4 linked regions of the Elephas maximus indicus genome follow. The main gene of each other region encodes a partner of the protein of the gene in region 2 in a complex. Links are inferred from orthologs where the notes say so. Each region holds a gene or a part of one and is shown on either strand. Other genes may lie near its edges. The genes, in order: TMEM17, TMEM237, CEP290 and B9D1.

Evidence for each region.
Region 1: TMEM237 (region 2) and TMEM17 share a complex: the UniProt entries of both Homo sapiens proteins name them as parts of the tectonic-like complex. The link is inferred for Elephas maximus indicus from reciprocal best matches to the Homo sapiens genes TMEM237 and TMEM17.
Region 3: TMEM237 (region 2) and CEP290 share a complex: the UniProt entries of both Homo sapiens proteins name them as parts of the tectonic-like complex. The link is inferred for Elephas maximus indicus from reciprocal best matches to the Homo sapiens genes TMEM237 and CEP290.
Region 4: TMEM237 (region 2) and B9D1 share a complex: the UniProt entries of both Homo sapiens proteins name them as parts of the tectonic-like complex. The link is inferred for Elephas maximus indicus from reciprocal best matches to the Homo sapiens genes TMEM237 and B9D1.

The regions. Positions count from the first base shown.
Region 1 is NC_064835.1:74,245,542-74,252,402, forward strand, and holds the start of TMEM17 (transmembrane protein 17), read left to right. Parts: upstream 1-3,851; 5' UTR 3,852-4,195; coding exon 4,196-4,295; intron 4,296-6,861. UniProt on the Homo sapiens protein: Transmembrane component of the tectonic-like complex, a complex localized at the transition zone of primary cilia and acting as a barrier that prevents diffusion of transmembrane proteins between the cilia and plasma membranes.
Region 2 is NC_064824.1:100,452,198-100,460,185, forward strand, and holds the start of TMEM237 (transmembrane protein 237), read right to left. Parts: upstream 3,017-7,988; 5' UTR 2,818-3,016; coding exon 2,776-2,817; exon of another isoform or gene 2,064-2,775; coding exon of another isoform or gene 2,046-2,063; intron 546-2,045; coding exon 514-545; intron 1-513. Other genes in the region: MPP4 (MAGUK p55 subfamily member 4), read right to left, coding at 4,260-4,451, 7,272-7,406. UniProt on the Homo sapiens protein: Component of the transition zone in primary cilia. Required for ciliogenesis.
Region 3 is NC_064822.1:151,779,475-151,787,344, forward strand, and holds the start of CEP290 (centrosomal protein of 290 kDa), read right to left. Parts: upstream 3,006-7,870; 5' UTR 2,894-3,005; exon of another isoform or gene 2,735-2,893; 5' UTR 2,518-2,734; exon of another isoform or gene 2,289-2,517; intron 2,158-2,288; exon of another isoform or gene 1,975-2,157; intron 1,425-1,974; 5' UTR 1,397-1,424; coding exon 1,295-1,396; intron 1,143-1,294; coding exon 1,065-1,142; intron 50-1,064; coding exon 1-49. UniProt on the Homo sapiens protein: Involved in early and late steps in cilia formation. Its association with CCP110 is required for inhibition of primary cilia formation by CCP110.
Region 4 is NC_064820.1:213,491,705-213,499,635, forward strand, and holds the start of B9D1 (B9 domain-containing protein 1), read left to right. Parts: upstream 1-4,928; 5' UTR 4,929-4,989; coding exon 4,990-5,052; intron 5,053-6,481; coding exon 6,482-6,550; intron 6,551-7,931. UniProt on the Homo sapiens protein: Component of the tectonic-like complex, a complex localized at the transition zone of primary cilia and acting as a barrier that prevents diffusion of transmembrane proteins between the cilia and plasma membranes.

The sequences.
Region 1 (6,861 bases), on a different chromosome or scaffold from region 2:
AAATCAAAACTACAATGAGATCCCATCTCACTCCAACAAGGCTGGCATTAATCCAAAAAACACAAAATAATAAATGTTGGAGAGGTTGTGGAGAGACTGGAACACTTATACACTGCTGGTGGGAATGTAAAATGGTACAACCACTATGGAAACCGATTTGGCACTTCCTTAAAAAACTAGAAATGGAACTACCATATGATCCAGCAATCCCAGTCCTTGGAATAGATCCTAGAGAATTAAGAGCCTTTACACGGGCAGATATATGCACACCCATGTTCATTGCAGCACTGTATACAATAGCAAAAAGATGGAAGCAACCAAGGTGCCCATCAATGGACGAATGGACAAATAAACTATGGTATATTCACAGAATGGAAAACAAGGCATCAATAAAGAACAGTGATGAGTCTGTGAAACATTTCATAACGTGGAAGAATCTGAAAGGCATTATGCTGAGTGAAATTAGTTGCAAAAGGACAAATAATGTATGAAACCACTATTATAAGAACTCAAGAAATAGTTTAAACACAGAAGAAAATATTATTTGATTGTTACAAGAGTGGGGAAGGAGGGAGGGAGACGGGTATTCACTAATCAGATAGTAGACAAGAACTATTTTAGGTGAAGGAAAAGACAACACACAATACAGGAGAGGTCAGTACAACTGGACTAAACCAAAAGTTTCCTGAATGAACTGAATGCTTCGAAGGCCAGAGTGGCAGGGGCGGGGGTTTGGGGGCCATGGTTTCAGGGGATATCTAGGTCAATTGGCATAGTAAAATCTATTAAGAAAATATTCTGCATCCCACCTTGGGGAGTGGCCTCCGAGGTCTTAAACTCTAGCAAGCAGCCATCTAAGATGCATCAGTTGGTCTCAACTCACCTGGAGCTAAGGAAAATGAAGAACACCAAAGACACAAGGTAATTATGAGCCCAAGAGACAGAAAGGACCACATAAATCAGAGACTACATCAGACTGAGACCAGAAGAACTAGCTGGTGCCCAGCTACCATCGATGACTGCCCTGACAGGAACACAACAGAGAACTCCTGAGGGAGCAGGAGAGCAGTGGGATGCAGACCCCAAATTCTCATCAAAAGACCAGAATTAATGGTCTGACTGAGACTAGAAGGACCCGGAGGTAATGGTCCCCAGACCTTCTGTTAGCCCAAGACTGGAACCATTCCCAAAGCCAACTCTTCAAACAGGGATTGGACTGGACTATAAGACAGAAAACGATACTGGTGAGGAATGAGATTCTACACATAAGGCTATGTGGCCAGCTCCTGTCTGGAGGGGAGATGAGAAGGCAGAGGGTGACAGAAGCTGGCTGAATGGACACGGAAATAGAGGGTGGAGAGAAGGAGTGTGCTGTCTCTTTAGGGAGAGAGCAGCTAGGAGCATATACAAGGTGTATATAACTTTTTATACGAGAGGCTGAATTGATTTGTAAACTTTCACTTAAAGCACAATAAAGAAAAAAAAAAGATTATCATTATTCCTATTTTACAAAATAAGAACCTGAAATCAATCGCACAACTATTAGGTGATAGAGTGAGAATTTTAGGAGACTTGAACCCTGCTCTCTGCTTTCAAGGGCATTCTTTCCACCACAGCCCAACAGCTCGCTTTACTGCACCCTTTTTGAAAGTTTTGGCTCATGTATTAGCTAAAAAGTGATTCTTTGTTGCTAAATTTTTTTTAATTTCTGGTTGCTTTAATTCACTGTGTTTTAATATACCAATTCTCCACCGTATAGAGTAGGCTTTACAAAGGCTGGTTAACTGCAGAGGTTGCTCTAACTAGAACCGGGAAGATATAGGAGTGGTCATTAGGCCTTTTATTTCTATTTATCACTCAACAGGCATCTAGCCCCCACTCTAGGCCAGGCATTGTGCTAGTGTTGGGAGATACACAGATGAAAGCCCATTCCTGACCTCAAAGAGCTTGTGGACTCGCAAGAGAAGCAGGCACATGAACAGACAATGAACAGCGTGACCAGCACCTTGACTAAAGTAAGTAAAGAATGCTTTGGGAAACAGAGGAGGGCACCTAGGCCAGCTTCAGGGAGATCCTGGGAGTATCTTTGGAGGTGGTGAGGCCTCAGCTACATCTTAAAGAGAAACAGATTAGTGAGTTTTTCCCTGACAGCTGAGACCTCTGGCAGAATTAATCACTTCCTCATCAGCATTCCTTTATTAAAGCACTTACAGCAGTGTACGGTATTTATTTGTTTCCATCTCTCCCTCTCACTGGGTTGAGCTTCCTGAGAGGAGGAATTATATTCCTAATTAGTCTAGTACAATGCCTTGTAGGAAAGCAATACTAGTAGGAATGCAATAAACATCTGTTGAATTAAAATGAAATTCTAGCCACAAAGTTAGCATTTCCTCCCATACCTTCCTCTTGACATTTAAATAAACATATGTGGTTTTCCTTTTGTTTGTAAAAAATAATAATAATACCGTTCGCCACACAACCATTAGAAGAGCTAAAAGGAAATGGGTGGAAAATAACAAGTGTTGGTGAAGGATATGCAGCAACAGGAATGCTCATACATTGCTGGAGGCAGCAGAAATTGGTACAACCACTTTAGAAAACCGCTTGGGAGTGTTTACTAAAGCTGGGTCATATCCTATGACCCAGCAATTCCACTCCAACACAAATCCAAACATAACAGTCCCAAACTAGAAAAACATACGCAGATGTTCGTCAACAGTAAAATGTATAAACACATTGTGGTACGGCCACACACCACAAAGAGAACGAAACTACACATACTCAACCATGTAAATGAATTTTACAAAAAACAACGAACGTAGAAGGCCACGAGCCAGATCCGGAAAAAAAAAAAAAAGTAAAGCACCTAAAACCCACTGCAGTGGAGTCGATTCTCATAGTGACCCTAAAAGACAGTATAACTGCCCCACAGGGTTTCCAAATTTTTTTTTAATCTTTATGGAAGCGGACTGTCACATTTATCTCCAGGGGAGCAGAGGGCGGTTAGAACCGCCCACCTTTCAGTTAACAGCTGAGTGCTTTAACCTGCACCACCAGGGCTCCTCAAAAAAGTGCTTACTATAGGGTTCCTTTTATATAAACTATAAAAACAGGAAATTATTCTATGCTATTACAGATCGGGAAAGGTTAGTGGGGAGCTTAGTGACTGAAAAGGACAGCGCCGGTAAGGTTCTATTTGCTCCGGTTACTAAACACACGTGTAAATTCAGTTTGTGTCCTTTTCTGTATGTATAAAAAAAAAAATTATTTTTATTTTTTTATATACGTACATATTATATTTTAATTAAAAAACAAAAACTTAAAGTAATACATCTTATTTGAGAGAAAGCTGGAAAATACAGAAATATTTAAAGAAACTTTCTTGTTGAAATCACCCAGAATCCCCCATCCAGAAATAACATTGTTAACATTCTGTAATTTTTTCCAGTCTTTTTTTTTAACCAGTGTGCAAGCCCTCTCTCCTTCCCCCGCTCCCCATTTACACACAAATTTTGCTAAATTACATTCTTTCCTATTTCACTGTACTTTTTTTTTTCAAGTCAATCCATATCATCAAATATTCTTCGCAGCAATGTTATTTATAAGCTGCTGCAATGCGCTTCATCGAATGTATGTGCTCTAATACATTTAATCAGTTCCCCATTGTTGCATATTTTCGTAATTTATAATTTTTATTAAACAAATTATTTTTTTTAATCAGTGCACATTATTACATATATGTATACACATATGTATATACATATAAAATTCCTAGAAGAGGAGCTACTGGGTCACGAACATTCTCTAAGCTCTGCATCCGGTCTGTATTTCCCTTCAGGAAAATTGCACCGATTTACAGACGCTGGCAAGGTGTGAGGAATCCTTGCATCACAATTCAACCCCAGATCATTTATTCTTATTAGGCTGTTGTTTTTGAAGATGGTGGAGCTTAAACGGGACTAAAGAATCTGCCGTTCGGAACACCACCGCGGCGCTCTCCACACACCTCCTCCACCACGCGCAGGCTGCGACCCGCACACTCGGCTCGGCAGACTCGGCCCCTGCAGTGCCGCCCTGAGCGCGTGTCCAGGCCCCGCCACGTCTCGCGCCGCCCGGTTGCCATGGGGACCGCAGAGCGCCACGGCGCCCGCAGACTCGACTGTATCTGAGGGGCGAGGGGTACTGAGGCCCAAGCATGGAGCTGCCGGATCCGGTCCGCCAGCGGCTGGGAAACTTCAGCCGGACCGTGTTCAGCGACTCCAACCGGACCGGGCCGGAGTACACCGAGGGTCCGGGTGAGTGGCCGAAGCCCAGCGCAGAGGGTGTGGCCCGCCTAGGGCCTGACGCGGGTTTTTTGAGCAGCCAGATTTTGCCCGCACCTAAGATGGCGATTCCGCCTTCAGCTAGGTCACCGTGGTGCGCGGAGCGCTTTGGCTTCTTGGCTGGGCCGGGCCCCGACCGCGGTCCAGTCCAGGTCGGCTCACGCTGTGGCCCGGGAGGCGCGTCGCAAGCGCCGCAGCAGATTTGGCGCGGGCCTTTGTGTCGTATGAGGCGCAGCACTGCCTGCGAGGAGACTTAAAAAAAAAAAAATTAAAAAGCTGCCTTCCCCGTGTGCTGGGTCCCGCGCCTTTGCGAAGGCCGACGTTGATTTTCCTCTGCGCCTGCCCAGGTTTTCTGGGTAGGATCGGGGGAAACAACCCAAGTGGCGTTATCATTACCCCCGCCCTCCTGGGAAATACCTTTGCCTTTTCTCTCTTCCCCGCAGGACAAGCATCTTCCTCCACAAGTACGTTTTCCAGCAGAAGAGATGAAAGAAACATTTTTTAATGAGTCATTTTAAACCTTTGTTCACTTCAGAGTGGCAGCTGCCACAGTAGACGGCCTTCGACTTGTCCCCTTCCCTGCCTTCTCCTCCTCCACTATATATAGCTCTTTTCCTAAATCTGGTAACAAAGTCACGGTGCTGCATTCAACAGGATGACAAGTGATAACGCAGTTTCCTCCAAAACAGTTTCCTCCTAATCTTGATGACAGATACCATCCTGTCTGACCAAACCCATTCGGTTTTCATCACTGAACTCTGTTCAGAAATAGAAACTTTTTCTTCTGACTGGTTTTAAGGATTTTTTTTTTTTAAGGTGGCAAAGAAAAGCAGTTTCCATAGTTGCAGTTTGTCACATTGATCACTTGCCTGTTCCCCCAAATTTTAGGCCTCTTTATGATTTGGGAGGTACAGAGAAAGACATAATATGAAAAATTAGGTTTTCTCGTTTCTGATACTAAAGCTGAGGCTTAACAGACACTAAAACCTGACTATGCAAGGTAGTGATTTAAATCAGGGGTCAGCCAAGTTTTTCTGTGAAAGGCCGGGTAGTAAGTTTTAGGCTTTGCGGGCCATGTGGTTTCTGTGGCAACAACAGACAAGAAGTGAATGGGCATATATAAAACTTTATTTGTAGACACTGTGATTTGAATTTCTTATGGGTTTCATGCATCACAAAACATTATTCTTCAATTTTAAAAAAAAATACCACAATAAAAATTCTATTAAAAAGTTCATAATCATCAGACATATTCTAGCTCAGTGAACCCTTCTTGCTATGAGAGACCATGACTATTTCTTAAAATTTGTTAAATGACAGATTAAAAAATACTCAGTTGTAGAGAAAAAGGAAAAAAAACCCACCTTTTTAAAAGAATTATTTTACAACCTTTGTAAATTCCTGCATTTAGAGCAATTGATTTGAAAATATGTGTCCGCTCTTAGATTGTTAGAATTTAGTCAATTTTAGGATGCGTTTTGTAGGGTTCAATTTTTTCAATCAAATTCTTAATTTAGGACCTTTCTCCTTTACATAAAAGCAAAAGGTATTATGTAATCAGGCTTAGATAAATGGAACTCATTTTTCACTAATGGCTACACTGGTAATGTCCTTATGACAGCTTGTTTCCGTTAATTCGTTAATTCGTTCTTTCAGGTTAGGTGTGCTTGGTATTTACTGTTGTAAAGCAAGACAGTGGTTCTGTGAGGGCTTCAGTTTGGAGTAGGATATGATCTGTGCTCACGATGAGCCTGTGTATAGGTAGAAGAGGAGAAGGAAAGGGTACTACTTTTTATTGAGTGCCTACTAAGTGCCAGGCACAGGGCTAGGGTGAAATAATTTTTATTCTTTCTAATCCTCACAAGCACCCTGTAAGGTCATTTTACTGTACACCTGTTGCCGCTGAGTCAATTCTGACTCATAGCAACCCTATAGGACCTATGTCCCATACGGTTTCGAAGGAGCGCGTGGTGGATTCAAACTGCCAACCTTTTGGTTAGCAGCCAGGGTTTCCAAGCTCAGTTTAATGTTAACATTTTACAGATGAAGAAATTGAGGCTCAAAGAGGTTAAATAACATATCCCAGGTCTGGCATCCAAAGTCAGGGAATGGAGGTCCAGCTGAGTTGGACTCTGTCTTAGTCATCTAGTGCTGCTGTAACAGAAATACCACAAGTGGCAGGCTTTAACAAAGAGAAATTTATTTCCTCACAGTAGGCTAAAAGTCCAAATTTAAGGCGTCAGCTCCAGAGGAAGGCTTTCTGTCTCTATTGGCTCTGGAGGAAAGTCCTTGTCCTCAGTCTTCTCATGGTTGGTCGAGGAGCTTATCAGGCACAGGGACCCTGGGTCCAAAGGACGCATTGTGCTCCTGGTGCCGCTTTCTTGGTGGTAGGAGGTCCCCCACTCTCTGCTTGCTTCCCTGTTCTTTTATTTCTTGAGAGATAAAAGGTGGTATAGGCCACACCCCAGGGAAAATCCCTTTACCTTGGATCAGGGAGGTGACCTGAGTAAGGGTGGTGTTACAATCCCACCCTAATCCT
Region 2 (7,988 bases):
CAATGTCAGCTAGTTTACAAACTAGTTATCATTTACCAATAATAAGCTGTTTAATAAGACTGCTAATAAAATAACCCCAATGTTATGAACCTACATACACATTCCCTTCAGTCTGTTAGTAAAGCGGATTAAGTAGATTAAGAACTCTTATTTCCTCAGTGATAAAATCAGCTTAAACTCTGAGGAAACTATTCTAGCAAACAAAAGAACATCAGAATTCCAATACACATTCTCATAAACAATTCTGATAAACAAGACACTAAAAACATTCAGAATGGAAGCATTATTATATCATGTTAACATTTGGGCTTTTAAATCAAACATTTAATTATAACTCTTATCCAAGTGATTCAAAGATTTCCTATCCTTAAAAATTTAGGAATCCTTTTCATATAAATTTTAAGAAGTCTTTTCTAAATCATTATAATTTTGCAATAATACTAGTTAATTTTTTTACTTTTATCCATTTTGTACTTTTAAAGTCCAATAATGATTAGTGAAAATTATTTTTACCTTGGCACAGGTGGAAGGGCACGTGGAGGACGCTGGAAGGGAGAAATGAAAAAACTGCTTGTCCATAAAAGCTGCGATCATCTTTACTTTCTGTACAATACCATGAAAACAAACACACGCACACACACACACAAAACCCAAACCCGTTGCCATCGAGTCGATTCTGACTCGTGATGACCTTACAGGACAGAGTAGAATTGCCCCATAAGGTTTCCAAGGAGCGGCTGGTAGATTCGAACTGCCAACCTTTTTGGTTGGCAGCCAATCTCTTAACCACTGCATCACCAGGGCTCCAATTTTTTTTTTTTAAATGGCTTCAATTTCATGAAGACATCATTCTTAAAAAATAAAAACCATGTTGTTCAAACATGACAGAAAAATATAATGCATCAGGCTAGTATTTTCAGATCTGATAACCCTGTCCATCAGTAAAAACCTGGGAGGTAGTAATGAGAATGAGAGGGGCTTTTTAAAATTTATTCCACCATTTCTGAATGTCACATAAAATTTTTTCATTCCTTTCTATCTACAGGCCAGGCTTTGTTCTTAGGGTTGGGGATACACTAATGAACAAAACAGAGATATCCTTGCTCTTGTGGACCTATGTTCTAGTGGCCAAGTACCAGAAGAAAAAAAATAAATAACAGAGTAATAAGAGAGTGAATGAGGGAGGATGTGAGGTGCTACTTCTGGTGGAAGCAAGTCTGAGATACTTGAACTGAAGCCTGAATGCAAAGGATCCAACAAACATTTCAAGCAGAGGGTTACAGTTCCAAGTTCTGGTGCATTTGAACGTTTCAGGTAAAAATGAAGGCCAGCAAGGCTGCAAGTATGGTTACCAAGGTGAGGTAGGTAGGGGACAGATTAAGTGGGACCAGGGGAAAGAATCTGAATTTTAATTTAACAGGAAGCCAATGGAAGTTTTAAGCCACGTAGTAACGTGCTTTTTAAAAAATCACTCTGAATGCTGAACACAGCGTGAAGAATGGGTGTCAAGGCAGCGAAAATTGAAAGGGGGTGGGGGGAGAGACTTATAAATGCTGTTTTACATGAATAAGAAAAGTTGTTTGCGATCCAGAGAGCGTTACATCAAAGAAGCATTCTGGAATCTTTCAAAATAAAAGAGTAAGAGACATGCCTAGAAATGAATTTAATGTTCCTATGATCTCATGCTGCTTGCAGAGGACAATGAATCAAAAGGGTTGAATTTTAGACACTCTTGTAGTTGGTTCCACGACTGTTCCACTAGCAATCCACTCGTTCAAACAGCATATTGATTCAAATGCTATAATGTCGTAGTACTATCCAGTCAAAATTACAACTGGAAAAAAAGACAAATGAAAGCATTATCGTTCTGAGGATCGCGTTCTATTCAAGGACCCAGCTCACTCGGTAACTTCACATTTCAAAAGTCCGGCAAAAATGACATTTCACTCATCTAGAGACCCAACTTGTAAGCCCCTCAAACGTAAGGCGGCTGAAGACAGAATCTTAATAACCCAAATAAATAAATGTAACTAGGCCTCGCTTACCACCTGCTTCTTTCCCATTCTGTGTAAAAGCCGGACGCTCGCTCGGCCGCTGCCGCGCGCCCCGCGTTCACACCCCAGCCCGGCCGGGCCGCGCGCGCAGGCGCACTCGCGTCATCGGGCTGCGCGGGCGGCCGCTCCCGGCCTACAGCTACCTCAGGGGTTTAGTGGGGGTGAAGCGAGGGGCCTGGTCAGGTCTAACACTTCCAATCCACTCCAGCGGGAAAAGGGGCGTCGAGGGAAGGGCTGACGTGCTCGGGAGGAGAGACTCCGGCGGACATGGGTCGGCAATCAGTCTTCCCTGTGGTTTCTCGAGTGGTTGCGGTGATTTGTTTGGGGGACGTGAGAGAAGACCATGATTAAAAGCCTCCGCTTGTATACAGCTCTTCCGAAACAGGGTGAAAGAGCGCCCTCCCGGAGGGACCTGGCTGGCAGCACCGAAACCCGCGACAGTCACGGCGGCCAAGTACCGTGTCGTCCTGGCAACGCGGGCGCTCCGACTCCTACGGCTTCCCGCCTGGCTCCAGCAATCGGGGGTCCCGGCCTCCTCAGAACGAACTTCCAGCCCCCGCCCCAATCCTCCGAGCGACGAAGGGGCAGATGCACGCACCCCACGACCAGTACCCCCCCATTTGTTCCCTAATCGGCTGGCGTCGGCCCCGCCCCTGGGGCGGCTGCTCGGTGAAGGGGCCCACCCTCCACCTCTCGTGGCCTTCGCACCCTTCCCGCTCACCCGGTGGTTCGCCTCCAGCTGAGACCTCCGTTCGGGGCTCATGGTCCTCTCCCCACGGGGCTCCCTGGGCGCAACTGCCGCGGGCCGGAGCCTGGCTCCCCGCCGCGCCGGCCTCCGCGACTTGCTAGAGGCGGGGGCTTCGGAGCGGCCTGACTAGGCCGCCGCCCCTGGGGCCCGGACTCCGCCCGTCTCGGCCCGGCTCCGCCTGGCGTTCCGAGGGGAAGCTAGCATTCCCGGCCGGCGGAGTCAGGGACGGGCGCGTTTACCCCCTCATTCCCTGCCCCCCCCGGCCCCGCCCACAGTTGCAGTGCGGGAGGGTGTGGGTGTCGGCCAACCCTTTGCTTTCTCAGCGAACCACAACATAAAATCAAATCTGGACTCAGTTAAGTATCCTTAAAATTTAATTTTCTTAAAGGTTTTGATGAAGAAAGCGATGGGATGGGTGGAGGAATGGTATGAATATGGAGAAAGGGGAGAATGATGCATAAGATAAACTAATACAGGGACAGGGAGAGCGACTGAAGTCACAGGCCCAGGGAAAAGAAAGAAAAACAAGACTTCTTGGAATAACATCTCCATCTTGTGGTTTTCTTGTATATTGGTCTTTTGGACCAATTGGCCTTTCCTAATTGAGGCATGGTGTGGTGTTTAAGAGCTCAGCTGCTAACCAAAAGGTGGGTAGTTTGAATCCACCAGCCACTTCTTGGAAACGCTGTGGGGCAGTTCCACTCTGTCCTATAGGGTCGCTATGAGTGGGAATCCACTCCACTGCACTGGGTTTGGGTTTTTTTGTTGTTGTTTTAATTTAGGCATGGAGCCCTGGTGGTTCAGTGGTTAAGAACTCGGCTGTTAATCAAAAGGTCAGCAATTTAGGTATAAAGGTGGATACTGGCTTTTAGGAAGATTAATGTTTGGGACACTTGTGATCAGAAGAATAATCTTCCTTGTGGATTGATTTGTAGATAATGGAGGCAATGCAGTTTCTGAGGTTTTGATGTTAGGTGTGAAATACATATATTAACTTCTCTTGCTGAGTTAGTCAAATAGGCACTTTTTGTAAAAAGCACAATGACAAACACTTTTTCATGAAGCAAGGTTTATGTAGTAAAACACAGTTTCTGAAATGAAATCCTGCTAATTTTATTTAGGAAAAGCTTTTTCAATCTGAATCCTATAAAAGCCATATGAAATAAATGAAAGGTTCTCAGGTTTAGTGACTTGATATTTTCACATTCATGTTCCTACATTGCATAGGAGGTGAAGGAAAAACAAGTTTCCCAAAAGCCAGTCTACATACCCATACAATACACATTTATTTTTAAATAAGATTAATTAATAAACTATACCACTGCCGTCGAGTCGCACTTTTAAAGTCGCACGCATTACAATGGGTCAAATAGCGCTATTTTATATTACAGCTATTATTCCAGGTATCTATCACCAAGGTACATTGTTAAAACTCCAGCATTAAGCAGGAGGCCTCCCTAAGATGTGGTATCAGAGAAAATCCATGTTGCTGGGACCCACTGAGGCTCTTCCTGAGCTTTCCTTACTACTGACAACAACTGGACGCATGCATCTTGCAAGTTGTCATTCACTATCACATGATCAAAGTACTGGCCAAACTGGGCCTCCATTTTTTGGGCTAAATCCTCCATCTCTTGTAAGTCTTCATCCTTCAGGAGAAATAGAAAAATACGCATAAGACATTGAATGAGACAAATAGAATTAATATACAGTATGTTATGCTGTCACATTGGTTGAGAAGCTATTTATAAAAAACCAGGTCAAATAAATGACCACTCAGCTTCCCACCTGGACTTAAATTTATTTTATTACCTAAACACTTGAAGCTTTCAAACCATATACAACATAAAACCAAAGCAAATTTATCAATTAAATATAAATAAAATTTTAACTTAAAATTTAAAAGAACATTAACCTGATAAGAATGATGTTATCTTGCAGATAGAAAATGGTCACATCCATAAGGATAGTAATTAAATTTATTGCTGTTATTTTCTTATTTGCTCATGACAACTAAAGTAGTGGTACTTGTTGCCAATGCAATCATAAACACAAATGCAAATACAGGCGCTAAAATTTTGTGAAAGTACCCCTTGACAAGGTGGCCATACACATGGCCCAGAACAATTTTATTAATTTGCTTAGACAGCCATCGAAATGAGAACACAATTTTAAATTCCCCCCAATTTTTTTTTTTTTACTCTGAAGTGCACCCATAAACTTCACTGAACTAACTGCATTCTAGAGAATCAGAGTTTTATAAAACAGTCATTGAAAAAATGTAAAAACAAAAATAATGAGAAGTAAGGTAGTAAGATACCTGATATTACACACAAAGTATATTCACTATGTTGTTGTTGTTGTTAGGTGCTGTAGAGTTGGTGCCAACTCACAGTGACCCTACGCACAACAGAACAAAACACTGCCCAGTCCTGGCCATCCTCACAAACGTTGTTATGCTTGAGCCCATTGTTGCAGCCACTGTGTCAATCCATCTCATTGAGGGTCTTCCTCTTTTTCGCTGATCCTCTACTTTACCAAGCATGATGTCCTTTTCCAGGGACTGATCCCTCCCGATAGCATGTCCAAAGTATGTGAGATGTAGTCTTGCCATCCTTGCTTCTAAGGAGCATTCTGGTTGTACTTATTCCAAGACAGATTTGTTCGTTCTTCTGGCAGCCCATGGTGTAGTTGATATTCTTCACCAACACCCCAATTCAAAGGCATCAGTTCTTCTTCTGTCTTCCTTATTCATCATCCAGCTTTCACATGCATATGAGGAGATTGAAAACACCATGGCTCGGGTTAGGTGTACCTCAGTCCTCAAGGTGACATCTTTGCTTTTTAACACTTTAAAGCGGTCTTTTGCAGCAGTTTTGCCCAATGCAATGCATCTTTTGATGTCTCGAGTGCTGCTTCCATGGCTGTTGATTGTGGATCCAAGTAAAACAAAAACAAGTGGATGGCTTTAATAAAGAGATATTTATTCTCTCACAGTCTAGTAGGCTACAAGTCCAAATCAGGGTGCCAGCTCCAGGTGAAGGCTTTCTCTGCTCTGGAGGAAGGTCCCTGTCATCAATCTTCCCTTGGCCTGTGAGCTTTTCTGTGCAGGAACCTCATGTCCAAAGGACACAGTCTGCTCCTGGCACTGTTTCTTGGTGGTATGAGCTCCCATGTCTCTCTGTTGGCTTTTCTCTTTTATTTCTCAAAAGAGGTTGGCTTAAGGGAGTATCTAATCTTATAGATCTCATCAGTAAAGCTGCAGCTAATCCATATTATTACATCATAGTGATAACATTTATAACACATAGGGAAATCACATCAGATGATAAAATGGTAGACAGTCATACAATACTGGGAATCATGACCTAGCTAAGTTGACAGATGTTTTGGGGGGATGCAGTTCAATCCCTGACACTTGACAGCTTCACTGTTCTGCATTTATCATGATGTTGCTTATTGGTCCAATTGTGAGGATTTTTGTTTTCTTTATGTTGAGGTGCAATCCATACTGAAGGGTGTAGTCTTTGATCTTCATCAGTTAAGTACTTCAAATCCTCTTCATTTTCAGCAAGCCAGGTTGTGTCGTCTGCATAACACAGATTGTTATTGATTCTTCCTGCAATCCTGATGCCCTGTTCTCTTCCTACAGTCCAGGTTCTCTGATTATTTGCTCAGCATACAGATTGAATAAGTATGGTGAAAGGGTACAACCCTGACATACACCTTTCCTGACTTTAAACCACGAAGTATCCCCTTGTTCTGTTCAAATGACTGTCTCTTGATCTATGTACAGGATCCTCATGAGCACAATTAAGTGTTCTGGAATTCCCATTCTTCGCAATGTTATCCATAATTTGTTATGATTCACACAGTTGAATGCCTTTGCATAGTCAAGAAAACATAGGTAAACATCTTTCTGGTATTCTCTGCTTTCAGCCAGGATCCATCTGACATCAGCAATGATATCCCTGGCTCCACATCCTCTTCTGAATCTGACTTGAGTTTCTGGCAGTTCCCTGTTGATATACTGCCGCATCCACATTTGAATGATCTTCAGCAAAATTTTACTTGCATGTGATAGTAATGATATTGTTCAATAATTTCCACATTCGGTCAGATCACCTTTCTTGGGAATGGGCAAAAATATTCACTATGACATTTTAAAGTAAACTTTCTTATAACTAATCCTCTTAAAATACAAATATCAGGCTTGTGCACACCTAATTTCTGTGTAAAAGAGTCAGACTTTTGCAAACTGGCTTTGGGACCTTCCATCAAAAAAGGGGGAAATAAAAAAAGGAAAGTTAGCATCATAGCATTATTAAACTTATTTTAACATCTGTAAGTGATGTTGAGGATATTATGTATTAGAAATGTTACATTCCTTAACACAGGAATCCTCTGGGAACAGTACTGTGATTTTTAACTAGAAAAAAATACAATCAACCACTTCCTCTGTATCTTACCTTGAACTTCATCTCCACAAAGTAGTCTGTAATGATCTTGGCATTTTTCCGAGATAGCTGCATACAACTCAAGTTAGATGGCTTTATAAAGATGACATAGGGCTTCAGTTCTTGGGTTCGAGCCACTTGAATACCCTATACAGAAAAATTAAATGCACATTTAAAACAGAAGTCCAAATTTCCTAGAGTTGATATGCATATTCTCTAAATTTCTAAGACCAGAAATTAGCAATTATTTTTAGCTGGAGTATATTCTCATCTTCCCCCCAAGTCCTCAACTCTTAAAAAACAAACAAAAATTTTAATAGTCAGGAGGTGGTGCTCTAGAATGAACACGAAGTTCAAATTTTGGCTCTTCCACTTACTAGCTATGGTATCCTTTATTGAAATCTGAGAGTAGGATTCTATACATGATCTCAAGGCACAAAGACAAAGGCAGATTTTCAGGGTGGATCAGCTCTGTTTCACCTCCCTTCCCTTTCCTCTTTCTGTTACCTCACATTAGATACTCCTGCCATCTTCACACTGACCACCAGCTTTGACCCAAGTCTGTCTTTCCTTTATTAAGCACATTTTAAGGAAAGCACAAAGAAAATACAAGGATCATAAAAGTTTGACCTACACATTGTATGCCCCTTATCTTACTTAACTTGTTCACTTGTGCTCCAGTCTACATATGAACTGAGAACCTTGCATTCTGGTGTAAAACAATGTCTT
Region 3 (7,870 bases), on a different chromosome or scaffold from region 2:
CAGCTTTTTCAACTTCTTCCAATGCTAGTTCTACTTCTTGGGCTTTCATCTAAACATTAAAAAAAAAAAAAAAAGTTATTTCAGTGTCTTAACACTAGCTATAGCCACTAAGAATAAGGATTTTGTTTTATTTACCATCCTAATTCTCAGTGCCTTCAATGCCTAACACATAGAGACATTCAGTAATTATTTGTTGAATGAATACATTAATGATTTTCTTATTGAAAATTATAGTTTCGAGATTCTTACCAGTTGGAAACACATTTGAGTCTTCTTTTTCCCTCAAGATTTATGTCAGTATTGCAACTTTTTCCTTTACAAATTTCTTTACTACTTCTTTTTTCAATTTCAGTTCTTAATTCTAACCCATTGTGTTATGTCTAGCTTCAGCATCAACTCCCTTCAATTCATCCTATGTACCAAACCCAGTTTATCCTTCCTAAGGTATATTTTTGCATCAATTGTGGTTCAAAAATGTCTAATGGCTCCTCATTGTTGATAGTTTAAAATATATCTTTAGGTCTTCCATAGCCTATAAGAAACTATCCACTAATGTCTATTTCCTCTACAATCTGCTACATGCTTTCTGCGGTTATCTCCTTCAATGTAAAGAATAAGCATATTATCTATTCTGCCTTTATTTACAGTAACCCCCAGCTCTAGAATGCCCTTGCCATCTTACCATACCCCTCTACTTTCCTAAGACTAGTTATTATCCTTTATTAGATTCCCTCAAACTTTTAAATCTCTCCCCCTCCTAACAAATTCCCATAGCAGTCATTGTCTGCATTATTCATTTGCACCTCAGCACATACTTACTTACCTTTAAACATACTCATTGTTTCCCCTATACATTCTTTTAGGAACATTACAGTACGAAACTGCAATGTTTTACACACTGAAGGCTCTCAATCACATGGAGATATTTTTGAGTGGCAATTTGTTGTGTTGTTGTATGCCATCGAGTTGATTCTGACTCATAGCAATTTAGATTTCACAAAGTACTTTCACAAAGATCATCTTATTTAAGATAGTAAAAAGTATTAAGCCTATTGGATACAAACCTTCATTAGGGACTGAGTAACTCTGAAAAGATGTATCAAGCTTTCTTGACTTTCGCTTTTTATTTCATTTATTTCCACCTAAGTAAACAAACAAACAACTTTAACCCTTAATCAAAATACAAGAACTCTTCCGGTTGCACCATTCAATGATGTCAGTGACAACTTAATCATACACATACATAAACAACAAAAAAAAATGTACATCCATGTGTTATTTATCAATTAAGCACCTTGGATAGAGAAATCAACAAATTATCTGCCAGTTCTTCTTGCCGAGGCAGGTCATCTGGGTCAACTTTCATTATATCTTTCCAGTTTATATTAGGTGGCATGTTGAATTCTTTCACCGTGCTTTACCTTCTGTAACAAAACCGGAGTATCAGATTTTCCAAAGTAAACAGCATTATTGACTCACTATAACTGCCTGAGCTAGTTAACGAAGAGCTTTTGCTGCTTAACTGCAAAACAGTTAAGTAGGCAAAATAACCCTGATCAGAACTACAGCAGACGACTAACGCAGTCAGAAGAAACTCTTGTTCCTGCTAAATAAAATATGGCAGCTTTCTGGCTAAAACTAATTCAGGTCGAGGGTAAGATTCTGGGTCCTCTGCCTCACCCTCTCCTACCACCAAAGCGCGCGCACATCCAAGGGTGCTAAGCGCAGAGGTGCAGTAAAGGCTAAAAAATGACCCCTGGCTCGCATTAGTAGTAACTGGGTACAAAAACCGCGTAAAAAAAATTGGTTACTATGAGCGCAGATGGACCGGGGAAACCAGGGCTGAAACAAAAAGAAGGCAAAAGAATTGCAGACCAGAGGTAGAAGAGACGGGGAAGCTGAGCTGTTGCAAATGGGCCCTGAGGCCAAAAACCTATGCAGAATTGTAGCTCCCGCTCACCGGGAGCCACCCACCTAGACCAAGCCTGGGATCCACCAGCGGCCCCTCATTTATCGCACGCACCAAACCGAGCCCCGCTGCCGCGCCCCGATCGCTTCTCAGCGCGGTTCCACCCGGCCTCTTGGTTCCGCCAACCGGTCCCGAGCAAGCAGAAGCGGCAGCCGCTGCTAGGCGACACCATTCCCCACCCAGCCAAGGCCAGAGCAAGGTCCCGGATGCAAGGGGAGGCTACATTTCACGGCGGTGAATGATGCTTTACGTTCAGATTCCCCGGGCGGGGGCGGGGGCGGGGGCGGGGGGGTACATCGACTCGGGGTTAAGGAGCAGGAGAAGGAGTGGGATGAAGACTCTAAATCCCGGCGTGCAGTTCTGCTCGGAAGCATGTGTACGCTGGGAGCTGAAGTCTCTGGGATGTAGGGCGTTCCCAGCGTGCAGTGCGACTATACCAGGACGGCAGGGGTAGGACCAGGAGGCTGGAGGCGCGGTGGCTGAGGCGCGTCGGCGCTGGTGGACTGAGCGAGGTAGACCATGACTGTGGCGTCGGTAGCGTCACTCACCGGGCCGCTCTTCCTGAGGTTTCCTTAAGCAGCCATCGGTGGAGCCGCTCCCAGGTGAGGTCGAGCTGTCGGTCCGCGGCGGGGGAGGGGTTGAAAGGAGCGGTCCGGATTTACAGAATCTCCTACCTTTGCGTCCGAAGGGCCCCGCCCGGATCTGAAGAGGAGTTAAGACCCCGCCTTCTCAGATGTTTGCCAGCGGCGCCCTGGGTGGTGCCTTCTGAAAAGAAAAAAGAAAAAAAAAAAAAGTTTTACCCTTTTTTGGCATCGGAATCTCTCTCCATACAGTGGAGTGGGGGCAACGCTGCCGAGACCTTGATTTGGGGTTACTGAGGAATTGAGAAGCGGACACCGCATTCTTCTGACCCTACCCCCTTACCTGTAGCACCTTTTCCTGCGCGCATTGAAGGCTCCAAGGTTAAGGAGCTAGGGTAGAGTGAAAACTCGAGAGCAAAAAGGTTAGTACCTATCCAGGCTAGTGCTGGGGTTTAGAGAGAAGAGATCTTAGTCCTGCTTCTGTCGCTTGATAACCGAGGGGGCTGCCCTTTTATGGTAGCGCTTGTCGGGCGTTCGTCGCTGCTATTCCTATTAAGTTTTGGTCCATCTCTGTGCTTTCGGCCATACTGGACTAAACAAACCAAATCTTTGCGGTTGAGTCGATTCCAACTCAGCGACTCTATAGGACAGAGTAGAACTGCCCCCATAGAGGGCCTGGTGGTTTCGAACTGCGGACCTTTTGATTAGGAGCCGTAGATCTTAACCAGTATACCATCAGGGTTTCTATTCTGCAATAAACAAAAAAAACCAAACCCACTGCCGTCGAGTCATAGCGACCCTACAGAACAGAGTAGAACTGCCCGATAGTTTCCGGGGAGTGTCTGGCGGATTCGAGCTGCCGACCTCTTCGTTAGCAGCCGTAGCACTTAACTACTACGCCACCAGGGTTTCCTATTCTGCAATAAAAAATCAATAGTAGACTGGAAATTGAAATGACTTTTCCAACTATATGGACCAGTGCTTCTCATCTGTACTTATTTTTTTATGACTGATAGTATTTTGAAGATAAATGATAGATTTCTGTCCAAACCACGTTTGGGTAATAACAAAAAATTAGCTCAGTAGAAAATAAAAACAGGTAGTGATTTTGTGAGATAAGTTTTAAAGACAAGTTTGTATTAAAAACCAAACCCACTGCCATCAAGTGGATTCCGACTCTTAGTGACCATACAGGACAGAGAAGAACTGCCCCATAGGCTGTAATCTTTAGGGAAACAGACTGCCATATCTTTCTCCCGCGGAGCAGCTGGTGGGTTCCAACTGCTGACCTTTGGGAGGAATGATAATTTTGTGTAATCCTTTACTAAAAGGTTACATGCCAAAAACTATCCATTTTCTCACTTAATTTTCATAGGAATGCAGTGAGATACGTGTTTATATTGTCCTCAGTGGTGGCGCAGTGGTTAATTAAGAGCTGGACTGGTAGCCAAAAGATTGGCAGTTGAAATCCACCAGCCAATCTTTTGGCTACCAGTACAAATCCAAAGCGAAATTGTACTTAAATGTCATAGTTTAACTGATTCTGACAATAAACTTGAAGTTGTACGCTCCACTAGGCACTGGGGATACAGCAGAAAACAAGTTAGCTAAGGCCTAGGTTCTTATGTGCTGCAGTCTCTTTGTACCTAGCTATAAAAAATCAGGAAATTTAACTCAAGTTCTAGTCCAGTCACTCAGTATGTAATTTTGAGGAAAATCGCTAAAACTCTTCATTACTTTTCATCTAATTTTCTTCATCAGTCAGTTTTCACAAAGAGAAGGGATTTATGTTTCAGTTTAATGAATGGCCTTCTTATAGGAACACTTGCTTAAAAAATAAATAAATAAATAACTTGCTTAGACCTGCCTTTTTTCTTCCTTAGGCCTTTATGAAGAATTTTTTCTGACCAAAATCACTTCATAAGAAAGATTTGCCTTTTATAATTGCTACCTCTGTTTTCTCTACCAACCAGCCTGTATTCCTTAGATGATTTTCCATATACTTTCAGCTACCTTCTCAGAAAAATAGGGTTGCTATGAGTCGGAATCAGTTCCCCGGCAACAGGTTTTTGATTTTGGTTTATCAGAAAAATGAGTGGTTGCTTACTTTCCCAGTGTCTAAAATAAAGCATGGCCATAAGAAATTTAATATCCACTGTTTATAATAAATGTTTTGTTTCGCCTTGTTCTTACGGGGAAGGATGAGTTTGCAACAAGCTGATACTTGTCTTCCCACAGCATGAGACTGGAAAGATTAGTAGGAGTCACCAGACATGCAGACTTTGCAAACTTTGCAGGCCTAACAAAGTTTTGCAGACTTTAAAAATAGAATGTAGTAGATTGCTCTTATTGAATAAGATGATATAATCACAATGGAATCCTTAACCTGGGAGAACTTTCCTTTCCAGACTAAATATTCCCAGATTCATATAAAAATTTTTATAGGTTTATTTTTTTCTGATAATTATACTGTAATAATTTTTGGATCATTGCAATGAGTGAACACTCAGTTATGTTGAAGGCATTAAATTTTGTATCTCTATAATTCATGAGTAATCTTCACTTGCAGTTCGAAGTTATTCTGTGGTTCAGGTGAAAAGGACCAGTTCTCTGGTAGAGCTGTGTCTTGGCTGTCCAGGGTCCCTTATAACAGGAATACCACAAGTGAACGTCTTTAACAGATGGCAGTTTATTCTCTCACAGTCTAGTAGACTAGAAGTCTGAATTCAGGGTACCAGCTCCAGGGGAAGGCTTTTTCTCTCTGTGGGCCCTGGAGGAAGGCCCTTGTCATCAATGTTCCGCTTGTCTAGGAGTTTCTCAGCACAGGGACCCTGAATCCAAAGGATATGCTCTGCTCCTGGCCCTACTTTTTTGGTAGTATGAGATCCCCCTCTTTCTACTCTCCTGGCTTCTCCGTTTTATGTTTTATATTTCAAAAGAGGTCGATTTAAGACACAACCTAATCTTGTGGATTGAGCCCTGTCTCCTTAACATCACTGCAGCTAATCTCACCTCATTAACATCATAGAGGTAGAATTTACAACACATAGGAGGATCAAATCAGATGACAAAATGGTGGACAATCACACAATACTGGGAATCGTGAACTAGCCAAGTTGATGCACAGTTTTGGGGGGAACACAATTCAATCCATAACAAGTTGCCCCCTGCTGAAACAGATTCATTCAAAGAAATGCTAGAATACTTGAGAAAAAATCTGCTCCCAGTAAAATTTCAGGATATAGATTTCATAAAAAATTAATTTGATAATTCTTTGAAAATGCAGTAAAGAAAAAATTTTAAATGTTAGAGAAGATAATTATATAGACTATTGGTCTCAGATATTGAAGTTCCTGGTAATAAGTATTCTTAAAGATAAGAACATAGAAAATGGAGCAATGGTAATAGGAAACGTTCATGATGAAGAAATATTTAAATTTGTATTATTAAATGTAATTAATTGTCCATTGAAGGATGTTGTTGCCAAGTGAAGGTATTTGGTTTTACAATTTGCAGTCCTCTATTTATAAACTGACTAAAAAAACCAAAAACCAAACCCATTGCCATTGAGTCTATTCTGCATCATAACAACCCTATAGCACAGAGTAGAACTGCCTATAGAGTTTCCAGGGAGTGCCTGGTTGATTTGAACTGCTGACCTTTTGGTTAGCAGCTGAACTGTTAACTACTCCACCACCAGGGTTTCCTATAAAATGATTAGTGATGTGGAAAAACAAATCATAGCTGTACAGGCAGTCCCCAGGTTACAAACATCCTATTTAAGGAAAACTCGTACTTAAGAATGGGCTGGCATAAAACCTATTATGTTAATTTGAGTTAATACAGTGGTTCATAATAACGAACGCAGGCACTACTTTGTGACGCTCATGAAAACATTGTGCTGTTTGACAGTGGTTTTTAAGTGTTTATGCATAGAAAGGTAAAATACATACTATATAGGAAAACAAACGTTTGACTAACTGATGCTCAGTAAGAACCATGTGTATCTGTTTCGACTTACCTACAAATTCAACTTAAAGACAGAAACGAATCTCGTTGTCTAACTTGGGAACTACCTATAATAAGATATATAGTGACATCCCGTTTTTGTACCAGATATAAACCAGTGATCCCAGCCACTAACATTATATGCGTGTGTGTGAATATGCTACCGTGCCTGGAAAAAAGAAAAGTTCACACAGCAAACAACAATGGTGTGTTACACTGTTATATAGTAAGTAGTCTCCCAGTGTCATGCCTTCCTCTATGCCCTTGTTAACCTCCCCCCTCCCCCACTACATACGCATATACACGCACAAACACCTCAGCTCTTGCAGTTTGTGTTTTTGGACAAAACCTAAGATGATTACACAACTAAGCTCACGAGCGTGCCCTAAAACTTTAACTTTCTCTCATATTAAGCTCCCTTGGGGAATCTTCAAAAATTCTATTGTCTTGGCCCACTAGAACCTCTGCCACATCGCTTCTGGGTTTAACTTAGTTGATTGATAGTAGCAAATTTGAAATAAGCAAAGGCTTGAAAAGAGTTTGCGCATTGGGTGGGACTTATTCTCCTATCTGCTCTAAGATCACCATTTAAAGAAGCCCAGGCTAACCTACTGGTGAATGTGATTGAGCAGAGATTAGCTTTCCAAGCTGAGACTCCTATCCTTCAGACTATCCAGCCCTAGTCCGGCCAGGGGATAACTGTAGCCTTGTTGGTGGTCCCAGTCAAGACCAGTAGAAGAACCACTCAGCTGAACCCAGCAGCCCAAATTACTGAGCCACGACATTATAAGCTTACATTTTTATTTTAGTTGTCATAATAGTTGGGGTACTTTACCAATATTTAGTGAGTAGGCATGAAGAGTGTACATCTTGCAGTGCCATCCCCTCAGTGATGATTAGCACCTCATTGATAAACAAACATGATGCTTCTTAAAACTCATCCACTCACCTGTACAGAGGTTATGAAGGGCAGAGATAATAGAATTTTAAAATTCCCCAAGGGAGCTTAATATTAGAAAAAGGGAGAGAGAGCTGGCTCTAGTGTAGGCTCATGAGCTCAGTTATGGAGTCATGTTAGGTTCTGTCCAAAAAAGCAACCTGCAGGAACAGAAGTTGGGGAAAGAGGTGTAGTTATAAATAGACCTTAGTAAGAAAAGCTGAAAATATTACCAGTTTACAAGGAGACAGTAGGGACTTTCTGATGTAGCGGGATGAACTGAAGATAAAAGAAACTTCAAGGAGCAGTCCCCAGTAATAGGGGTTTTTATTCCCAAGAACCCTAACACTCATGAAAGTCACAGCTTTGAGTATA
Region 4 (7,931 bases), on a different chromosome or scaffold from region 2:
CTGTTGGAATTTTGATTGCGATTGCGTGGAATCTATAGATCATTTTGGGTAGTTCTGACATCTTAACAATATTGTCTTCCAAACCATGAACATAGAACATCCTTCCATTAATTTAAGTCCTCTTTAATCTCTTTCAGCAGTATTTTATAGTTTTCATTGCATAAATCCTTTACATCCCTGGTTAAATTTATTCTTAAGTATTTTATTCTCTTAGATGCTATTGTAAATGGAATTGTTTCCCTAATTTCTCATTCAGATTTCTCATTGCTGGTGTATAGAAACCTAACTGATTTTTGTGTGTTGACCTTGTACCCTGCAACTTTGCTAAATATCTCTATTAGCTCTGGAAGTTTTCTTGTGGACTCTTTGGGATTTTCTATATATAGGATCATATCATTCGTGAATAGAGATAATTTTACTTCTTCTTGTCTAATTTAGATACGTTTTATTTCTTTTTCTTATTGCTCTGGCTAGGACTTCTAATACAATACTGAATAGAAGTGGTGAGAGCGGGCACCCTTGTCTCATTCCCAATTTCAAGAGGAAAGCTCTCAGTCTTTCTCCATTGAGTATAATATTGCCTCTTGGCTTTTCATATATGCCCTGAATCATATTGAGGAATTTTCTTTCTATTCCAATCTTTAGAATTGTCATGAAGAAAGGCTGTTGGATTTTATCAAATGTTTTTTTGCATCCATAGAGACGGTCATGTGGTTCTTTTCCTTTGTTCTATTGAAATGGTATACTATGTTGACTGATTCTCTAATGCTGAACCATCCCTGCATTCCTGGAATAAACCCCACTTGGTCACAGTGTATGACTCTTAATATGTTCTTGGATTCTGTTTGCTAGTATTTTGTTGAGGATTTTTGCATGTATATTCGTAAGAGATATTAGTCTGTAGTGTTCTTTTCTTGTGGTGTCTTTGGTTTGGGTATCAGGGTTATGTTTGCTTCATAGAATGAATTGGGGAGCATTCCTTCCTTTTCTATCTTTTGGAAGAGTTTAAAAAGCAGTAGTGTGAATTCTTCTCTAAATGTTTGGTAGAATTCCACAGTGAAGCCATCTGGTCCGGAACTTTTTTTCGGGGGTGGGGGGAGGTTTTTGATCACTGATTCAGTCTCTTCATTTGTATGAGTCTGTTGAGGCTTTCTATTTCCTCTTGAGTCAGTTGGGGAAGGTTGTGTGCATCTAAGAATTTGTCCATCTCATCCAGGTTATCCAGTTTGTTGCCATACAGTTGTTCATAATATTCAGTCATAATTCTCTTTATTTCTATCAGGTCAGTTGTAATGTCCTCTCTCTCATTTTTTTATTTTGGTTATTTGCATCTTTTCTTTGTCTGTCTAGCTAAAAGATTGTCAATTTTATTGATGTTTTCAAAGAAACATCTTCTGGTTTTATTGATTGTCTCTGTTGTTTTTCTGTTTTTTTATTTCTGGTCTTTATCATTTCCGTTCTTCTGGTAGGTTTAGGCTTAGCGTGCTCTTCTGTTTCTAGTTCCTGAGCTTGTCTAGTTATGCTGTTAATTTGAAAACATTTTTCTTTTTTTATGTAGACATTTACTGATACAAGTTTCCCTCTGAGTACTGTCTTTGCTGCAACTCCTAAGTTTTGATATGTTGTGCTTTCATTTTCATTTGATTCTAAGAAATTTGTGACTTCTCTTTTGATTTCTTCCTTGACCCATTGGTACTTTAACAGTGTGTTGTTTAATTTCCATATGTTTGTGTTTTTTCCAGGGTTTTTCCTGTTGTTGATTTCTGGTTTCACTCTGTTATGGTCAGAGAAAATATGATTTCAGAGAAAGTATGATTTCAATTCTTTAAAATATATCCAGACTTGCTTTATAATCTAAAATGTGGTTTATCCTGGAGAATGATCCATGTGCACTGGAGTAGAGTGTATATTGTGCTGTTTTAGGGTGGAATTTTCTACATATGTTTATTAAGTCTGGTTTGTTTATAGCGTCATTCAGAAAGGACAAATGGTTTTTAAATATCTACAGTGTTTTTCAGCAATACAAGCTGGACTCCAAATGCATTCCCATCATCTTCATGGGAGATTGTTGCTACCACTGACTAAAACCTGGTAGGCAGGGGCCTTATAATCCCCATTTCCTCAGAAGCTGAGACTTAGATAAATTAGATCCTCAGCCCAAGGTCACACAGCTTGTGAGGGGCAGTCTGGATTGGAGCCGAGGGCTGTCTGACTCACTTCTCTACAGCTCCCTTGGCCAGTTTACCCCTGGAAGAAGCCTCTGCATGCATTTCCTCCCTTGAATTTCATGGGCAAAGGGGAAAGGTACAGCCCCTGAGGCAGGATTCAGAGAGCCAGAGATTCCCCCAGACCTTCCCAGGCCTAGGCCCAACTTAACAGGAGAATGAGGTCATCCAGGCATCACCCTCCTCTTATTATGACTACATGGAGGCCTAGAGTAGGGCAGTGACTTAGTAAGCTGGGGACAGGCTGGGGATAGTAACCCCTGAAGCCTGCCTTGGGTTCTACCCTGGACCCCAGACCACCTACCATGGACCCCGTTATTCCGTTGTGCTGCTGGATGCTGAGGTTCCCGAGCTTTCTCTGGCTCCTGGCCTCCCTGCTGGGCCCAAGGATTTTAGTCTGATTTTGGTGAGGATGAGAGAGGAAGCATGGGATGGTTGGGGGCCAGAGGATACTGGCCTGGGGAGGTGTACAGACAGGGTGGTGCTGGGGGCTGCAGAGGAGGGTGGCACTGACCTCCTGCTCTGCTGAGTCAGCTTCCAGCCTGGATGTCTGACACCTACCAGGCAACAGCTTGTCCCCCAAACTCCCTGCCCCAGGGTGCTCAAGATCGCATGAGCTTGAGGAGATTGTGAGGCAGGAGTCCAGTGGAGGGCAGGGTTGTGCTGGGTGACGTAGAAGAGGAAAGTCGAGGAGTAGAAGCCAGGAGGCACATCCTGGGGCAGGGAGACCAGGGCAGGAGCTATGTGCCCACTGGTGGAGAAGCATCTCAATCCATTAACCACCAGTACAGCCATATTGGGCACATCGGCTGAGGGCCCCCATCCCCACACAGACCCGTATGCCCCACCCCTAGAGCTGCACAGTGTGCTGCTGAGGCCACTGTCCCCCAGCAACTGCAAAGACACTTTTCGCCTCCAGCCTGACTGTCCCACCCTGGATGTCAGCCTACTTGAGGGCTCTCAGTGCACCAGGCCCCAGCTGGTCCACCTGAACTTGTGGTAACGACTCCAGCTGAGCCCTGAACAAACCCCTAAGATCCCTTAACACTCCCTCCAGTTCCTCCTAAAGAGAGTAGACTCCACATTACCCTGGGATCTCCCATTCACCAACACCCAGGGAGCTGGGCTTCTCTGCACCTCTGGTGGCCACCCCAGAGGCCCCTGTCCCTTGGGGGAAGTCCCCCTTTTGTGTCCTATTCAAATGTGAAGTAGGCTTTGGCATGGCCAGGTTTTAAAGCACAGAAGCCCCCTGGTTATTTGATCATCTCAAGCATTTAGCTGCAAACTAACTTTGGCACAGTCCTGAGTCTCAAAGGTCACAGAAGGGAAGGAGTTGGGCAAGACTGGTAAAATTTGTCAGAGAAAGCATATTAACAAGGAAGAGACAGGGTGTGACATGGGGTGGGGTGGTGTGCGGCCAAGTGCCCAGGAACTGAACAGCTCCTACTTGTGCAGCCCCCACCTGTTGCAGCTCCCAGCCTCTATCACATGAATAAACCCTGGTTACCCACAGCCCCCTCTCCCCAATCAGGTATCTTTGTTTACCTGGGGTCAGGGCTTCAGCTGGTTGGGCTGTAACCTATCCTTCCCTCTCCTCCACCAGTGACTGACAGGAGCCCCCTTGTGTGCTCCTAAGCTGGCAGCTGGCTGTTGAGCAGGGTGGTGACCTGGCAGCCCACTCAGGGTCTGGCTTCCCAAAGTCTACACTCCTGTGCATCCTTTCATTTCCTGGATTTGGGAGGTCTCTAATGCCACTTCAGATGCTGAGCCAAGAAGTGACCCAGGACAAGGCAGAGGGGGCGGTGAGGGTCTCTAGTCTGTGGAGCTGTGAGTTTGCGTCCTGGCTCAGCCACCTAAAACCAAAAAGCAAACCTGTTGCTGTCGAGTTGATTCTGACTCATGGTGACCCTAAAGGACAGAGTAGGACTGCCCCATAAAGTTTCCAAGGAATGCCTGATGAATTTGAACTGCCAACCTTATGGTTAGCTCTTAACCACGACGCCACCAGGGCCTCCACTGCTGTGATTTTGCCCAAGTCACCTTCCTTCTCTGAATCTGTTTCCTACTCTGTAAAATGGGGACATATTCAATTATTCATTCATTTAGCAAGTATTTATTGTGTGCTTGCTATGTGTCAGGCAATGGGGATACCAGACTGACAGTCTCCATATTCATGCAGCTGGCAGTCTAGAGGGGGAGATAAGCATTGGCCCAAATTATGAGTCTCAATAAACGTACAAACAGAAACCATGGTTAACGGCAAGAGGACGAGAGAGGCCTAAGAGGAACTGTCATTTGAGCAGAGCCTCACAGGTCGGAGATTCTGCTCTAGTCCCAGGCACTGCCCCTCTGTGGGCCTCAGTTTCCCTAGTTTCAGAAGTGGTGGCTTAGTTTGTTTAATAAACATTTTTGGGAGGAGAGTTTAAAAACACAAGCGGGTACCACCTTAGCCCGATGTGGGGCGCTGCCTGGCCTCAGCTCGGTAACGTCCCTCCAGAGCCCAGGTAGCCGACCCTGTCCTAGGCACCTGGCCCCCGCCTCGCACTGATAGGCGGCGACACCGTAGTCCCAGCACATTGAGCCCCACGGTACCCTCCTCGACTCTCCCGGCAGCGTCCGCTAACTGCGCCTGCGCAATACCACGCACGCGCACTAGTGAAGAAATATGTCCCGCGCGCCACGCCGTCTGTTTCCAAGGTAACCTCAGCGCCTCTTAGCAACCGCGCTGCAACCAGGGTCGGCTCCCGGTGCCCCCCGCGCTGCCATGGCGGCGCCGGGTCCCAGCGTCTTCCTACTCATGGTCAACGGGCAGGTGGAGAGCGCCCAGGTGAGCGACCGGGACCCTCCCCAGCCTCCCCCGGGGATACGCCCCTCGGCCCCTCCGGCTGCGTTGCGGTCCAGCGAGGCCTGTCGTTCCTCGGAGCTTCTGTCTCCCTTGGTGAGGCGGGGGAGGAAAACCGGCGTGTGAGGGGCTCGGCGCAACGATGCTAGGCGTTCCTAATGCGCAGCGTGGAAATTGAGGCTTGCAGAGGCTGAGCTCGTGCCAGGGGGACGCTTGGTCAAGCCTCTGACCCCTGGCCTTGTTGAATCACGGGCAGGAGCTTCACGGGGCGTCACTGGGGCAACTGGGCCGGCGCACAGGCCTCCTCCGCCCGTGACCGAGTCGGGGCGTCTGTGAGCCTCAGATCATGGAACTCAGACTGGAGTGGGGATGATTTGGGTAACCCTAGCCAACGACGGTGGTGGTGGCCAGGAATCATCCAGGGAGGTGTGTCTGTCATACCAAAGGGACGCTACTCCCCACCTCCCAACACTTTATAAAAACGTTAATAATCATAATAAAAGCCAATGTGTGTCAGGTATTCACTCTGCACCAGACGTGGCCCTTAGCCCTTCCCATTCATTCAGCACAACAACACTGTGAGATGGGTGTTATTAACATCCCTGTGTTACAAGTGACAGAGCTGGGGTTTGAATCCAGGTCTGTCTGACTTCAAAGCTTTGCTACACCTTAGCAGTGACCTTATGGGGTATTGGAAATGGTGTTTATATGTGAAGATTAAATGAGATGTTTTAGGTAAAGTTGTGCCCAGGGCCTGATACTTACTAGGTGTTTCCTACCTTCAGTTTCCTCATGGATGCTTCTGCCCCATGCACCCATCCTGCCACCTCCCCCTTGGTCTAGCACCTGATGCTGTCTTCTGCCTTTCTCCTGTTCTATCCCATCAGGGGCTCTCAGCAGGGCTGGGTCTTTCCTCATGACATGTGTCCTGATGGCTTCCTGGTTCTCAGACCTTTCACTTCGGCGTTATCCCCTTAGACCTTCTCTGTGCCCACCCTGTGCTTCCTATGCACAATCTAATGGGTTGGCAAACAGACAGGCAATCAGTGCTTTGATGGAGGAAAGCCCAGGTGCTGAAGGAACCTGGACAAGAGGGCAGGCTTTCAGGAGGGTAAGTTTTGAAGGATGAGCAGCAGTTTTCCAGATGAAGGAGTGGGAAGAGCATATCAGACAGAAAGCAGAGCCTGAGCAAAGGCCCAGGGGCTGTAGCAGCTGGGAACCCTCCTCTGGACTCCCACAGTTCAGTCCTCAGCCCTCTCTGCTGAACGCCATATCCATGTGTCCAACTGGCTCTTGGGCCCTGGCCCAGGTGCCTCATGTTCAGAAGTCCTTTTGGCTGCACCTGCCTAGCCGACATGTTGGTGGGCCTCAACATGAGTCCCAGTAAACAGAATTCACGTGTGCTTTTTTCCAGTTTCCAGAGTATGACGACCTCTACTGCAAGTACTGTTTCGTGTACGGGCAGGACTGGGCTCCCACGGCGGTAAGCTGAACTCTTGGGCCTCCCTCGCTGACAGCATTCGTGATTATTGGGGTTTCTGAAGGTGTCCATTATACCCCTTCCCCTCCCAGCTCAGAACCAAGTTAGAGGGAGACAGAGTTTGGAAACAAACGTGAGTTTGTTTTTGATAAAGCTGGAGTTGGAGAACACAGCCACAATTGGGCTACCAAATAAACCCCCACCGCCAGACTATTCTCACTCAGGTACCCTGTCCTGTGAGCTTATGTGTGGCAGCAGGTGGCAAAGAGGAACACAGGTGCAATGCAGCAGGCAGGCTCCAGAGTGCCAACTTGGAAGGGATGAGCTGTAGATACTTTGGGCCAGTCCCTCGTCATTTGGCCTCTCCTTAGACCATGGGGAGGACTTTGGAGAGTCACAAGACAGAACAGGATCTCTCACTTCCTAGGCTTCCTAGAGAACAGTCTCTCCACCAGGAGAGGGATTATAGTGATGTCTTCAGTTTGCACATACTTTACTCTTTGCACAGCACTTGTTTATACCTCACAGCAGTTAGGGAAATGGAAGCCCAGCTTAGATAACTTTTCTGAGTCTCCCATTTCCTCATCTGTACAACTAAGATGACAGTACTTTTTTTCCATTCACTTATTTATCGAATAAATATTGAGAGTCTTCTGGGAAACCCTGGTGGCATAGTGGTTAAGTGCTACAGCTGCTAACCAAAAAGTTGGCAGTTCAGATCCACCAGGCACTCCTTGGAAACTCTATGGGGCAGTTCTCTTTCATATAGAGTCACTATGAATTGAATTGACTCAACGGCAATGGGTTTGGTTTTTTTTTTTTGTTTGTTTTCTGGGTGCTAAGGATACAGAGGTGAACAAAACCAGACAAAAGTCCCTGTCTTCCTGGAGTACACATTCTTGTGTAGGTAGACAGAAAATAATAAATAGTAAATATTCTAGTTTGTTAGTAATAAGTTCTGTAGGGAAAACAAAGTCAGAAATGGGGGGAGGGTATGAAGGCAAAGAGGGAGGTTGATATCATGGAATTACCTTGAGTCGGAATTGATTTGACAGTGACTGGTTTGGGTTTAGGAATCTAGACATGGTGGTCAGGGAAGGCCTCACTGAGAAGGTAGCTTTTGAATAAACACCTGAAGGAAGTGAGGGAACAAGCCATGTGGAAATCTATGGAAAGAACCATCCAGGCAGAGGGAGCAAAAAGTGCAAAGAAAGGCTCTCTCTGTGGCAGGAGAGCCTTTTGAGGAGCAGTAAAGAGGCCAGAAGGAGTCCTGGTGGCACAATGGTTAAGTGCTTGCCTGTGAACTGAAAGATTGGTGGTTTGAACCCACCCAGTGGCTCTGTGGTAGAAGAGACCTGGAGATCTGCTCCTGTAAAGACTGCAG